Linked DNA regions of Anolis sagrei. The protein of the gene in region 1 interacts with the protein of each later gene in a pairwise test. Links are inferred from orthologs where the notes say so. Each region holds a gene or a part of one and is shown on either strand. Other genes may lie near its edges.

The links.
Region 2: the proteins of TRIM37 (region 1) and PRC1 interact in binary tests that used the Homo sapiens proteins (3 or more experiments, as listed by UniProt). The link is inferred for Anolis sagrei from reciprocal best matches to the Homo sapiens genes TRIM37 and PRC1.

What each region holds. Positions count from the first base shown.
Region 1 is NC_090031.1:22,626,601-22,634,256, forward strand, and holds the start of TRIM37 (E3 ubiquitin-protein ligase TRIM37), read right to left. Parts: upstream 3,003-7,656; 5' UTR 2,758-3,002; coding exon 2,737-2,757; intron 1-2,736. UniProt on the Homo sapiens protein: E3 ubiquitin-protein ligase required to prevent centriole reduplication. Probably acts by ubiquitinating positive regulators of centriole reduplication.
Region 2 is NC_090029.1:22,722,495-22,730,275, forward strand, and holds the start of PRC1 (protein regulator of cytokinesis 1), read right to left. Parts: upstream 3,019-7,781; 5' UTR 2,916-3,018; coding exon 2,869-2,915; intron 651-2,868; coding exon 518-650; intron 1-517. Other genes in the region: VPS33B (vacuolar protein sorting-associated protein 33B), read right to left, coding at 7,552-7,631. UniProt on the Homo sapiens protein: Key regulator of cytokinesis that cross-links antiparrallel microtubules at an average distance of 35 nM. Essential for controlling the spatiotemporal formation of the midzone and successful cytokinesis.

The DNA.
Region 1 (7,656 bases):
AGAAGCTATAAAAACTATAAAAATTATAACAATATTAGTAATATTACATGTAAAATAAAATATATAATTATAAAATTGTATTATTATTATTAGTATTATATTGTATTACATTATATTATAAATATTATATGTATAAACAATACAATATATTATATTATTAGCATAGCACAATATCATTATATATATTACTATACTGTACTATACCATTATATTGTAATATTATTAGTAATATTACATGTGATATAACATATATAATTATAATATTGTATTATTATTAGTAATACATTATAATATTATAAATATTATATGTATATACAATATATTATAATACCATATTGTAATATTATTAGTAATAATATTAGTAATATAAAATATATATTAATATTGTATTACTATTAGATTCGTATTGCATTACATTATAATATTATAAATATTTTATGTATATATACTAGCTGTCCCCTGCCACGCGTTGCTGTGGCCCACATGGGGATTCTGTTTGGGAGGTTTGGCCCAATTCTATTGTTGGTGGGGTTCAGAATGATCTGTGATTGTGATTGTAGGTGAACTATAAATCCCAGCAACTACAACTCCCAAATGTCAAGATTCTATTTTCCCCCAAACTCCACCAGTGCTCAAATTTGGGCATATTGAGTATTCATGTAGAGTTTGGTCCAGATCCATCACTGTCTGAGTCCACAGTGCTCTCTGGATGTAGGTGAACTACAACTCCAAAACCAAAGGACACTGCCCACCAAACCCTTCCAGTATTTTCTGTTGGTCATGGGAGAACTGTGTGCCAAGTTTGGTTCAATTCCATCGCTGGTGGGGTTCAGAATGCTCTTTGATTGTAGGTGAACTATAAATCCTAGCAACTACAACTCCCAAAAGACAAAATCATTTTTGAGTGAAGAACATACATTGGGTTGTTAGGTGTCTTGTGTCCAAATTTGGTGTCAATTCGTCCAGTGGTTTTTGAGTTCTGTTAATCCCACAAACGAACATTACATTTTTATTTATATAGATAACATTGTATTCTTAGTATAGCACAGGAGACTACACAAACACATGATACATATACATACAATATATTATATCATTAGCATAGCAAAATACTATTATATATATTAATATATTGTACTATACCACTATAATTAGTAATATTACATGTTTTATATATATATATATATATATATATATATATATATATATATATATATTGTATTAGCAGTAGTCCTATATTGTATTAGTAAAGGTTTTCCTCTGACATGCAGTCCAGTCGTGTCCGACTCTGGGAGTTGGTGCTCATCTCCATTTCTAAGCCGAAGAGCTGCCGTTGTCTGTAGACGCCTCCAAGGTCAGGTGGCCGGCATGACTGCCTGGAGTTGCATTATCTTATCTTATATTATATTATATTATTAGTATATTAGTATTAGTATAGTATTATTAGTATTATTAGTATTAGTATAGCACAGGAGACTACACAAACACATGATATATACACATACAATATATTATATTATTAGAATAGCACAATATTATCATATATATTACTATATTGTACTATACCATTATAATTAGTAATATTACATGTAATATTATATATATATATATATATATATATAATATTGTATTAGCAGTAGTCGTATACTGTATTAGTAAAGGTTTTCCCCTGACATGCAGTCCAGTCGTGTCCGACTCTGGGGTGTGGTGCTCATCTCCATTTCTAAGCCGAAGAGCCGGCGTTGTCCGTAGACACCTCCAAGGTCAGGTGGCCTGCATGACTGCCTGGAGTTGCATTACCTTATATTATATTATATTATTAGTATATTAGTATTAGTATAGTATTAGTATAGTATTATTAGTATTAGTATAGCACAGGAGACTACACAAACACATGATATATATACATACAATATATTATATCATTAGAATAGCACAATATTATTATATATATTGCTATATTGTACTATACCATTATAATTAGCAATATTACATGTAATATGTGTGTGTGTGTGTGTGTGCGTTTGCGAATGATTCCTATGCGTGGAGGCCCAACGCTGAACGAGAAGCATATATATACTCAGTTCTTGTGGGTTTTTTCGGGCTATATGGCCATGTTCTAGAGGCATTTCTCCTGGAGAAATGTTCTAGAGGAGAAATGCCTCTAGAACATGGCCATATAGCCCGAAAAAACCCACAAGAACTGAGTGATTCCGGCCATGAAAGCCTTCGACAATACAGCATATATATATATTACTATATTGATAATTAGTAATATTACATGTTATATATATATATATATATATATATACATATACAGTATATATATATATAATATTGTATTAGCAGTAGTCATATACTGTATTAGTAAAGGTTTTCCCCTGACATGCAGCCCAGTCGTGTCTGACTCTGGGGTGTGGTGCTCATCTCCATTTCTAAGCCGAAGAGCTGGCGTTGTCCATAGACACCTCCAAGGTCAGGTGGCCGGCATGACTGCCTGGAGTTGCATTACCTTATATTATATTATTAGTATATTATTATTAGTATAGTATTAGTATAGTATTATTAGTATTAGTATAGCACAGGAGACTACACAAACACATGATATATATATATACAATATTTTATATTCTGAGTATAGCACAGGAGACTGTATAAAGGGTAATGTGCGTCTGTGAATGATTCCTATGTGTGGAGGGAGGCCCAACCGTGAATGAGAAGCAGGCCTTTGCTCACCTCCACGCTCTGCTCGTCCATGGCTGGCCGGCCTCCCTCTAGGCCCGCTCGGCCTCTCTCTCTCTTCTCTTCTCTTCCTCCTCCTCCTCCTCCTCCTCCTCCTCCGCCGCCGGCCTCTCTGAGGGAGGCAAACACACGCCTGGGTCAGCCCATGGAGTCTCCCGCGTTCACGGCCCCCCAGGCCCCCGCAGGCCCCCCGCCAAGCCGCCCCCCATCTCCCCTCAGAGGCGCTCCTCCGGGCCGGAGGGAGGGAGGAAGGAAAGAAAACAGACCCAGCCTGACACTCACTGCGCATGCGCTGCCGCCACTGCCTCCCCGCGCGCCGCCTCTGCTGCATTCGCCGGCCGCCAGGAAACCGCAGCACGCATGCGCGCTAGGGCAACCCGGGAAAGGACCGCACTGCGCATGCGGGGGAGCATATGATTGGAGAACCCAGGCAGGCTGGGCTAATCCCACCACTTGCTTGCTCCATCCATGTTCAACATCTACACAAATGACCAGCCACTGCCAGAAGGGACAGAGAGTTTCATCTATGCTGATGATCGTGCCATCACCACTCAAGCAGGGAGCTTTGAGATGGTTGAACAGAAGCTCTCCGAAGCTCTAGGTGCTCTTACTGCCTATTACAGGGAAAACCAGCTGATCCCTAATCCATCTAAAACACAGACATGTGCCTTTCATCTCAAGAACAGACAAGCATCCTGAGCTCTGTGGATTATTACCTGGGAAGGAATCCCACTGGAGCATTGCAGCACACCCAAATATCTGGGAGTCACTCTGGACCGTTCTCTGACCTACAAGAAGCTTACTTACTTACTTACTTAGGCGATCCCTCATTGGACGAGTAAGATGGTCTTCCATTATGGATTTCCTTGTGGGTCCGTATGTGGCTGTGGAGCCCTATTCTTGCTCTGTATCTTCTTCCGCAGTGAGGGCATTGGTTTCCAGGTGGAAGGCGGTCTCGGTCGGGGTTGGCTTGACGCGCCTTCCTCCTGGCACGTTTCTCTCTTTCACCCTCCACTCGTGCCTCCTCAAATTCTGCAGCACTGCTGGTCACAGCTGTCCTCCAGCTGGAGCGCTCAAGGGCCAGGGCTTCCTAGTTCTCAGTGTCTATGCCAGAGTTTTTAAGGTTGGCTTTGAGCCCATCTTTCAATCTCTTTTCCTGCCCACCAACATTCCGTTTTCCGTTCTTAAGTTCGGAGTAGAGCAACTGTTTTGGGAGACGGTGGTCAGGCATCCGGACAACGTGGCTGGCCCAGCGGAGTTGATGTTGCAACTACAAGAAGCACTGCCTGAACATCAAGCAAAATGTGGGTACTAGAAACAATATCATATGAAAGCTGATTGGCACAACCTGGGGATCACAACCAGACACAGTGAAGACATCTGCCCTTGCGCTATGCTACTCTGCTGCTGAGTATGCATGCCCAGTGTGGAACACATCTCACCACGCTAAAACAGTGGATGTGGCTCTGAATGAGACATGCTGCATTATCACGGGGTGTCTGCACCCTACACCACTGGAGAAATTACACTGTCTAGCAGGTATTGCACCACCTGACATCCGCCGGGAAGTAGCAGCCAATAGTGGAAGGACTAAGGCAGAGACATCTCCAGCTCATCCCCTGTTTGGGTATCAGCCATCACGCCAACGACTTAAATCTAGACAAAGTTTTCTAAGATCTACAGAGACACTCGCTGGAATGCCTCAGCAAGCAAGAGTCCAACAGTGGCAGGCCCAAATCCAGCACCTCAACCAATGGCTGTTACAAAATGAGAGACTCCCCCCTGGGCACACAGAAGACTGGGCGACTTGGAAGGCGCTGAACAGACTGCGCTCTGGCACCACGAGATGCAGAGCCAACCTTCAGAAATGGGGCCACAAAGTGGAATCCTCGACATGCGAGTGCGGAGAGGAGCAAACCACTGACCACCTGCTGCAATGCACCCTGAGCCCTGCCACATGCACCAGGGAGGACCTTCTTGCAGCAACATCAGAGGCACTCCAAGTAGACAGATATTGGTCAAAGGACAATTAATCAACTACCAAATTCACAAGTTGTGTATCTTTCTGTTTGTTTACTTTGTTCTGTTAGAAATGTAATATAATGGACTGGTTGCTCTGACACAACAATAAAATAAACCACTTGCTATGTTCAGACCATACAGAGAAATCCACAAGCATGCAGGCAATTTCAACAGAAAGGAGACAGCACCCTTTTATTATTATTTTTAAGTCTCTTCTGCTGTGTTTTCCAGTGTTTTTATAAGTGGTCACTTGTTGGCCTGAGAGGTGTCTTGTGTCTAAATTTAGTGTCAATTCGTCCAGTGGTTTTTGAGAATCTCACAAACTAACATTACTGGGTTGTTGTGGGGTTTTTTGGGCTATATGGCCATGGTCTACAGCAGTGCTTCTCAACCTGGGGTCCCCAGACGTTTTTGGCCTACAACTCCCAGAAATCCTAACAGCTGGTAAACTGGCTAGGATTTCTGGGAGTTGTAGGCCAGAAACACACACGAAAGGAAGCAGTAACCTGTAGATGCAGGACCCAATACCAACATGACAGGCAGCGACAAGTACCCAATGCACGGACGAAACCAACACCTTGCCTTCTGCAAAGATTCCCCATTTCAGAGCCTACTTTTATCTTACACATCATCATCAGAAGATGAGCTGACCTCCGCCCCATCATAATCTCTTACAGCTGTTCTTGACTCCACACGTGAATTCCTACTCCCATCCCTCCAACTTCTCCAACTTCTGTCAAGACTTAGATTCCCCCACACAAGACTCAAATGTATTCCCCGATTGCCAGTCCTCGTTACCAGAGAACCCTACAAATGTATCACTAGACGTTGGCTCTGCACATACAGTTTGTATCTCTTTTACCTTAGTCCAGTCCAACGTGTCATCCCCATCTTCATCGCTCCCTGACCCATCACTCCCAGAGAAACCTACAAATGATTCTTCATCTATGGGAGCAGTAAATATATCCTCTTCCTCTGTCGCTCCTCATCCGATTCTTGCTCTCAGGTAACCCTCTTTGTTCCCCTATTCCCATCCATTGTATCGTCTTCCTCTCCCTCACTCATTGACCCTTCATCCCCGGAAAACCCTTCGAATGAGTCTTCATCGGTAGGTGCCATAAGTATATCCCGGATCCTTTTCCTTTGTTGTTCCTCATCTGACTCCTGCTCACGAGTACCCCTTTCTCCCCTTCTAACACCCATACTACTGCTTGCAACAAATGTCAGCATGCTAGAAGAAGCAAGGACCACCAGCACTGAAGTGATGCTCCTCCGCTATCAACTCCGCTGGACCGACCACCGTCTCCCAAAGTAGTTGCTCTACTCCGAACTCAAGAACGGAAAACGGAATGTTGGTGGGCAGGAAAAGAGATTGAAAGATGGGCTCAAAGACAACCTTAAAAACTCTGGCATAGACACTGAGAACTGGGAAGCCCTGGCCCTTGAGCGCTCCAGTTGGAGGTCAGCTGTGACCAGCAGTGCTGTAGAATTTGAAGAGGCAGAATGGAGGGTGAAAGTGAGAAACGTGCCAAGAGGAAGGTGCGTCAAGCCAACCCCGACCAGGACTGCTTTCCACATGGAAACCGATGCCCTCACTGTGGGAGAACATGCAGGTCAAGAATAGGGCTTCACAGTCACCTACGGAACCACCGCAAGTACACCGATCTTGGAAGACAATCCTACTCGGACAATGAGGGATCACCTAAGTAAGTAAGTAAGGTTTCATTATTATTATTAGTAGTAGCTGTCCCCTGCCAGGCGTTGCTGTGGCCCAGTCTGGTGATCTGGAAAATCAAGTAATGAGAAAGTGTTGGTTTCTAATATATCTAATTTCTTTATGGTTGTGGGTAAACAGTATTTCTTGCTGTTTCTTTATCAATGTTGATGTGGAGATTGTCTGGTTTGCCTACTCTGTAACATGCAACATACAGGGTTAGTCAAAATGCATAGGCCAATAAGCCATTCAATTGAATGGCTTATTGGCCTATGCATTTTGACTAACCCTGTATAATTGTCCTTCTTTACGGAGCCCTTTAAAATCTATGATACTATAACTGTGTGTGTGTGAATCATATATATCTATCTATATCTATGGCTGGATGGCTCTTTGTCAGGAGGGTTTTGATTTGCCCTGGTGAAGGGAGTTGGACTGGATGGCCTTGAGTATTTTCTGTTGGTTATGGGGGTTCTGTGTGGGGAGTTTGCCTCAATTCTGTCATTGGTGGGGTTCAGAATGCTCTTTGATTGTAGGTGAACTATAAATCCCAGTAGCTTCAACTCCCAAATGTCAAAGTCTATTTCCCCCTAACTCCATCAGTGTTCATATTTCTGCATATGGAATATTTGTGCCAAGTTTGGTCCAGATCCAACATTATTTGAGTCCACAGTGCTCTCTGGACGTAGGTGAACTACAACTCGCAAACTCAAGGTCAATGCCCACCAAACCCTTCTAGTGTTTTCTATTTGTCATGGGAATCCTTTGTGCCACGTTTGGTTCAATGCCATAATTAGTGGAGTTCAGAATGCTCTTTGATTGTAGACGAACTATAAATCCCAGCAACTACAACTCCCAAATGACAAAATAAAAAAAAATGAGTGAAGAACATACATTGGGTTGTTAGGTGTATGCTGTCCAAATTTGGTGTAAATTTTCCCAGCGGTTTTTGAGTTCTGTGAATACCACAAACGAACATTACATTTTTATTTATATAGATGATGATGATGATGATGATGATGATTATCTATATATATAAAAATGGAAAGGGTGTTCAACGGGACAGCAAAACGCGAAAACCCCCCGACGAAAACTCACCAAATTTGCAGTGCATATACCTCAACCCACAAGGTATGCACAACACTCATCAAAATTCCAAACAACATTTCAACAAACTC
Region 2 (7,781 bases), on another chromosome or scaffold:
ACACACACACACGCACATATCGGCTCCTGGTGGCACAGGATTAAACCGCTGAGCTGCTGAACTTGTTGATCAAAAGGTCAGCGATTCAAATCTGGAGAGCAGGGGTGAGCTCCCCACTGCTACGCCCAGCTTCTGCCCACCTAGCAGTTTCAAAAACATGCAAATGTAAGTAGATCAATAGGTACCGCCTTGGAAGGTAACAGTGCTGCAAGCAGTCATACCGGCCACATGACCTTGGAGGTGTCTATGGACAACGCTGGCTCTTTGGCTTAGAAATGGAGATGAACACCAACCCTCAGAGTCAGACACGACTAAACTTAATGTCAGGGGAAACCTTTACCGATATATATATATATATATATATATATATATCTCCATTTCAACTCCCAGTCCTCCTTAATAAATCCATGAGTGTATGTGGTTCTCCTTTCAGTGATATCACCTTGTAGCCTATCATCCAATAAATATCCATGCCATTTGAAATGAATCGGTTCCCCATCCGTTTGGCCTTGCCCACCTTGACGTGCTTCCGGACCACCTGAGTGCGCTCCAGGCGCTGCTCCTCGGGGATGCCGATCTCCTCCCAGATGTCATGCAGGTGCCTCAAGGCCTGGCTCAGGCAGGCCACCGACTCATCCGCCAGGACCTCGCTGCAGGGAAGCAGAAGCAAAGTTAGGAGGGAGCCCCAAATGCCATCTAGTCCAGGCTTGGGCAAGCTTTGGCCCTCCAGGTGTTTTGGACTCCAACTCCCATCATTCCTAACAGCCTCAGGCCCTTTCCTTTTCCCCCTCAGCCGCTTAAGGAAAGGGCGCAGAAGCCACACAACAACATCCCAACCTTTTCCACTCTTGGGAGAAAGTGGGGAGAGCTGGTGGAAATAGGATATAATTGGCATCTTGGGAAGGAATGTAATAGGACATGGGCATGTCATTCAAATATGGGACCGTCCCTTAACATCCTATATGACTGGCAACCCAACTTCCAAGGTCTGGCCAAAGGGCTGCAGTGATGAGGGCTTCCCTCCACGACTCAAGGCATTTGTGGGGCTCCTGCATCCAAAAGAAATCCCATATTATGAGGGGTCACAGCCCTATCTCTGAAAGCAGCGGACCCAACGCCCCATGGAAAAGGCCCTTTGTGCAGTTCCAGTGAAGCCCAGCATATGGCACTGTTTTCATAGAATTATAGAATCAAAGAGTTGGAAGAGACCTCATGGGCCATCCAGTCCAACCCCTTGCCAAGAAGCAGGAATGTTGCATTCAAATCACCACTGACAGATGGCCACCCAGCCTCTGTTTAAAAGCTTCCAAAGAAGGAGCCTCCACCACACTCCGGAGCAGAGAGTTCCACTGCTGAACGGCTCTCACAGTCAGGAAGTTCTTCCTCGTGTTCAGATTGTTCCGCATCCTAGTCTCCAGGGAAGCAAAAAACAAGCTTGCTCCCTCCTCCCTGTGGCTTCCTCTCACATATTTATACATGGCTATCATATCTCAGCCTTCTCTTCTTCAGGCTAAACATGCCATTATATGAATTTGTAAAAAAAAATAAGAATAAAACAAGGCATTGCAATAATAAACAGTAATATTATGTAATAAAATTTGGGAAAAATAACTGTTCTTGATTTGAAAGTGTTCTTTCCCGTTCAATAGTGCGGCACTTACTCTGGCAGTAGTTATTCTACTCCAAAAACTTCATTTTTGCGGCTGCCACAAACTAGGTTGGGTTTGGTTAAAGCTCAGTGATGAGATATTCATTGAAAAACTAGACCAGGGGCCCTCAAACGTTTTAAACAGAGGGCCAGGTCACAGTCCCTCAAACTGTTGGAGGGCCGGATTATAATTTGAAAAAAACATGAACGAATTCCTATGCACACTGCACGTATCTTATTTTTAGTGCAAAAAACACTTAAAAACAATACAATAATTAAAATGAACAATTAAAAAATACAGGGGCCTGAGGCTGTTAGGAATGATGGGAGTCCAAAACACCTGAAGGGCCAAAGTTTGCCTGGACTACATCGAGGGAAGTCATGGTGCCTCTCTATTCTGCATTATTATTATTATTGTATTGTCAAAGGCTTTCATGGCTGGAATCACTAGGTTCTTGTGGGTTTTTACGGGCCATAGAGCCATGTGCTAGAGGCATTTCTCCTGACGTTTCGCCTGCATCTATGGCAAGCATCCTCAGAGGTTGTGAGGTCTGTTGGAATTAGGACAATGGGTTTATATATCTCTGGAATGACTGGGGTGGGGCACATTATTATTATTGCAATGCAACTATTTGGTCTGCTCCTGACATGAAAAATAAATAAATTATTATTATTATTCTATTCTGCATTATTATTATAATAATAATTATTATTCTATATTGCATTTTTATTATTATTCTGCATTATTATGCCCATACCTGCCATAAGTAATCGAATCCCCCAATCGGAAGGGACCCCCAAAGGTCATCTAGTCCAACCCCTTTCTGCCAAACAGGATGACACAATCCAATCCCTCCAGATAGACGGCCCTGCAGCCCCGTAGTAGTATAAGTTTTATGGAAGCCGTAGTCAGAGAATTCTCAAATTGGAAGGGAGCCCCCCAAAGGTCATTTAGGCTGACCCCCTTCTTTCTGCCACGCAGAGTCACCAGCAAAGCCCTCCCAGCAGATGGCCACCCATCCTCTGCTTGAAGAACTACAGAAAAGGAGACTCCACTGGACTCCCAGAGTTGAAAGGGACTCCTGAAGGACATCCAGTGCAGCTCTCTTCTTCTTGCCAGATAGGAGGACACAATACAATCACTCCCGACAGATGGCCACCCGGCCTCTGCTTGAAAGAGGCCCAGGAAAACACGCCCCCTCCCCTCCTATTTTCCCTACCTTTTCCGCATGGCTCCCGGCCTTCTGCCCAGCTCCGGGACCTGCATCCTCCTCCTCCTCTCGCTGGGTCAAGAAGCAACGGCGACGGAGGTGAAAACGACAGCGACCGTTTTGTGCTGGGCTCCGCCTTAGATTCAAATACTCCGCGCCGCTTCCTGATTGGCTCCGCTTCCGATGACGCGCCACGTAGCCACGCCCCCCGCCGAGAGGAAGGCCCCGCCGTCGCTTTCTGATTGGCTCCATCAAGCCACGCGCCCTACCGAAGGAAGAACACGCCCTCCAGCGCTCCTTCGGACCAATCAGAAGTCAGATGCCGGGGGGTGTGGCTCTAGGACATCCTTGAACTTCTCAGTTGAATCCAGAGAAGCCTCCCAGGAGCCCAACGCCTCATCCTTATTATAGGAGGAATTATAAATAAATTATATTATATATTATTGTTATACATATACATATACATATATATATATATATAATTACACTAATATATAACATAATTTATTTATAATGTAATTTATAAATTATTATGTATAATTTATATATATAATTTATATGTATAATTACAATAATATATAACATTATTTATAATTCCTATAATTTATATATCTAAATTATATATATATATATATAATTATATTATATATAATTTATATATTACATTATAAACAAATTGTTATATATTAGTGTAATTATAATTATATATATATAAAATTACAATAAAATAAACAATTTATTTATAATGTAATATATAAATTATTATATATAATATTTTATTTATTATTTACATCACTTTTTCCCACCCATATCAGCCCGCAGGCGACTCAGGGCGGTCTACATATCGGCACAATTCGATGCCATCAATACAATACAAAAGCAAAAACAATTAAGTGCATTTAGACAAAAAAGACAGTGCAATAACAATTTAAAAAGAGCTATATCCTCTCATTCCAATCCTCATCCGTTTCGTTGTCTTGGCCGTTCCTGAGTCATTCTCCATCTCAAGCTTGACTATCTATTCCGGGGTTCCGAATGCCTCCTCGAAGAACCAGGTTTTCACTCTCTTACGAAAGGTCAGGAGGGAAGGGGCTGATCTAATATCCCTAGGCAAGGAGTTCCACAGCCGAGGGGCCACCACAGAGAAGGCCCTGTCTCTCGTTCCCGCCAAGCGTTGCTTGCGAAGCAGACGGGATTGAGAGCAGGGCCTCCTCAGATGATTTTAACTTCCTGGAGGGTTCGTAGGAAGAGATGCGTTCAGATAGGTAGGCTGGGCCAGAACCGTTTAGGGCTTTATAGGCTAAAGCCAGCACTTTGAAATATATACAATTATAGTAAACATTGTGATGATGTCATGTGTTACAGTTGTACCAAAAGAGGACAAAAGCGATCTATCCTTTTGTTTTAATTATAACCTTACATCATTAACACCTTTGCTTTGTAGGGTTATGTAATTAATTACAAAACAGGTAAAGGTTCCCCACTGACATTAAGTCTAGTCGTGTCCAACTCTCGAGGGTGGTCTCATCTACATTTCTAAGCCAGTGCCGGCATTAGACACCTTCTAGGTCATGTGGCCTGCATGACTGCATGGAGCACCATTACCTTCCCGCTGGATAGATACCTATTGATATACTCATGTTTTCAAACTGCTAGGTTGGCAGAAGCTGGGGCTAACAGTGGGAGCTCACCCTGCTCCCTGGATTCAAACTACCGACCTTTTGGTCAGCAAGTGCAGCAGCTCAACAGTTTAACCCATTGCACCACCAGGTTATGTATAACTGGTCAATTTCACATTCTGTTATAGAAGGCATGGGCAAACTTTGGCCCTCCAGGTGTTTTGGACTTTAACTCCAACAATGCCATTGGTCCTCCAGGTGTTTGAAATCCAAAACACCTGGAGGGCCAAAGTTTGCCCATGCCTCCTTTATAGCCTTATGCCTAGCAGAGATCGTCAGGCATTTTGTGTAATACATTAAACAACATTTAATTTCAAATATGTTTTTATGGGTTTTAAGTTGTTTAAAAAATATCAGTGATATTAATTTAGTTCTGTTTTAATGTTTGTATATTTGTATATTTTTAAAATTGCATGGAAATGCTTTCAATGGAAGCCGTTTTCAGAGTAAACATATTAAGTTAACATAATAATAATAGCAGCCATTTATTTATTTATTTATTTATTTATTTATTTATTTATTTATTTATTTGTTGTGTCAGAGCAACCAGTCCATTATATTACATTTCTAACAGAACAAAGCAAACAAACAGAAAAATACAAAATGTGTGAGTTTGGTAGTTGGTTAAATGTCCTTTGACCAGTATCTGGCCACTTGGAGTGCCTCCGGTGTTGCTGCAAGAAGGTCCTCCATTGTGCATGTGGCTGGGCTCATGTTGCATTGCAGCAGGTGGTCAGTGGTTTGCTCTTCTCCACACTCACATGTCGAGGATTCCACTTTGTGGCCCCATTTCTGAAGGTTGGCTCTGCATCTCGTGGTGCCAGAGCGCAGTCTGTTCAACGCCTTCCAGGTCGCCCAGTCTTCTGTGTGCCCAGGAGGGAGTTTCTCATTTGGTATCAGCCATTGGTTGAGGTGCTGGGTTTGAGCCTGCCACTTTTGGACTCTCGCTTGCTGAGGTGTTCCAGCAAGTGTCTCTGTAGATCTTAGAAAACTATGTCTAGATTTAAGTCGTTGACGTGCTGGCTGATACCCAAACAGGGGATGAGCTGGATATGTCTCTGCCTTGGTCCTTTCACTATTGGCTGCCACTTCCCGGCGGATGTCAGGTGGTGCAATACCGGCTAAGCAGTGTAATCTCTCCAGTGGTGTAGGGCGCAGACACCCCGTGATAATGCGGCATGTCTCATTAAGAGCCACATCCACGGTTTTAGTGTGGTGAGATGTGTTCCACATTGGGCATGCATACTCAGCAGCAGAGTAGCACAGCACAAGGGCAGATGTCTTCACTGTGTCTGGTTGTGATCCCCAGGTTGTGCCAGTCAGCTTTCGTATGATATTGTTTCTGGCACCCACTCCGCTGGCTGTTGGAGCTGATGAACAACTGCACTGCATCCTGTCAGATCCCCAAAATCTGGAGGAAAGCAAGAGTCATCGCCATCTTGAAGCCAGGCAAAGACCGTAATGACCCAAAAAGCTACAGACCAATCTCCCTGTTGTGCCACCTCTACAAAGTTCTGGAGAGACTTATTTTGCATAGAATTATGGAAAAAATAGACCCATGTCTGATTCCACCTCAAGCTGGCTTCAGGAAAGGCAAAAGTTGCACATCGCAAGGGCTGAACCTGACTCAGCACATAGACCTGTCAGCAGCCTATGATACTGTGAACCACTACCTCCTCATGAGAAAAATGTATAATATCACAAAGGACAACTACCTCACCTGCCTCATAGGAAACCTGCTACAAAACAGGAGCTTTTTTGTTGAGTTCCAGGGCCAGAGAAGCAGATGGCGGAAACAGAAGAACGGCCTGCCTCAGGGGAGTGTGCTTGCTTCATCCATGTTCAACATCTACACAAATGACCAGCCACTGCCGGAAGGGACAGAGAGTTTCATCTATGCTGATGATCATGCCCTTACCGCTCAAGCAGGGAGCTTTGAGATGGTTGAACAGAAGCTTTCCGAAGCTCTAGGTGCTCTTACTGCCTATTACAGGGAAAACCAGCTGATCCCTAATCCATCCAAAACAGACATGTGCCTTTCATCTCAAGAGCAGAGAAGCATCCCGAGCTCTGAAGATCACCTGGGAAGGAATCCCATTGGAGCATTGCAGCGCACCCAAATACCTGGGAGTCACTCTGGACCGTGCTCTTACCTACAAGAAGCACTGCCTGAACATCAAGCAGCTGTTTGATGTATGTTTATGAATTCAATAAATAAATAAATATGGGGCCTCGGTAGCACAGCAGGTTAAACCGCTAGCTGCAGAAAAACTTGCTGACCGGAAGGCTAGCAGCTCGAAGCCACGGGTCGGGGTGAGCTCCTGCTGTTAGCCTTAGCTCCTGCCAACCTAGCAGTTCAAAAACATGTAATGTGAGTAGATCAATAGGTACTGCCTCAGCGAGAAGGCAAAAGGCACCCTGCAGCCATGCCAGTAAACACGACTAGGAGGGTCTACATACAACAGACTCCTCAGCATGGATAAATGGAACAAGAGCACCTCCACATGACCAGAGTTGAGCATCGCGTCCAGATGCCGGAGATGGAAACCTTTGCCTTTGTTTATATCCAATCCAATAGGCCTTTATTGGCATATATAACAAGACATTATAAAATAGGAGTATAAATTATAGAAAATGAAACTTCACATTTACTACATCACATTTGAAACTTGCACATCTGCGTGTAGCCTTTGTTTATATATTGTATGTCATTGTTCACTGTATAAAAAGCATTGAATGTTTGCCTACATATGTGTATACTGTAATCCGCTCCGAGTTCCCTTGGGGAGATAGAGTGGAATATAAATAAAGTGTATTATTACTATTATTATTATTATTATTATTATTATTATTATTATATCGGCTGCCCAAAGCAAGGAGAAGCGGCAGAGCAGAGGAAAGGCAGGGTCTGCATTCAGTAAATAAAAACTTGGAGAGAGAGAGAGAGAGAGAGAGAGATGTGCTGGAGGAGTTTTATGTTTATGAATTCAATAAATAGATACAAATTGTCCAGTCATGCCTTGCCCTCCATTGTGGCCTCTAGCAATCGGACGCTGTTGGTGATGGCTGTGGTCAGGAACACAAACCGGAGCCCTAGGAGGAGAAGGAGGAGAATGTAACAGAATTAACTTTCTTGAACACTTTCTATAACATAGCAGTAGAAAGTCAACAGCAGTTTTCCATTCAATTGTTGGTTCCTTAAAAGCCTCAGATCTCCATTGATAACTCAAGGCTGAATTTCTT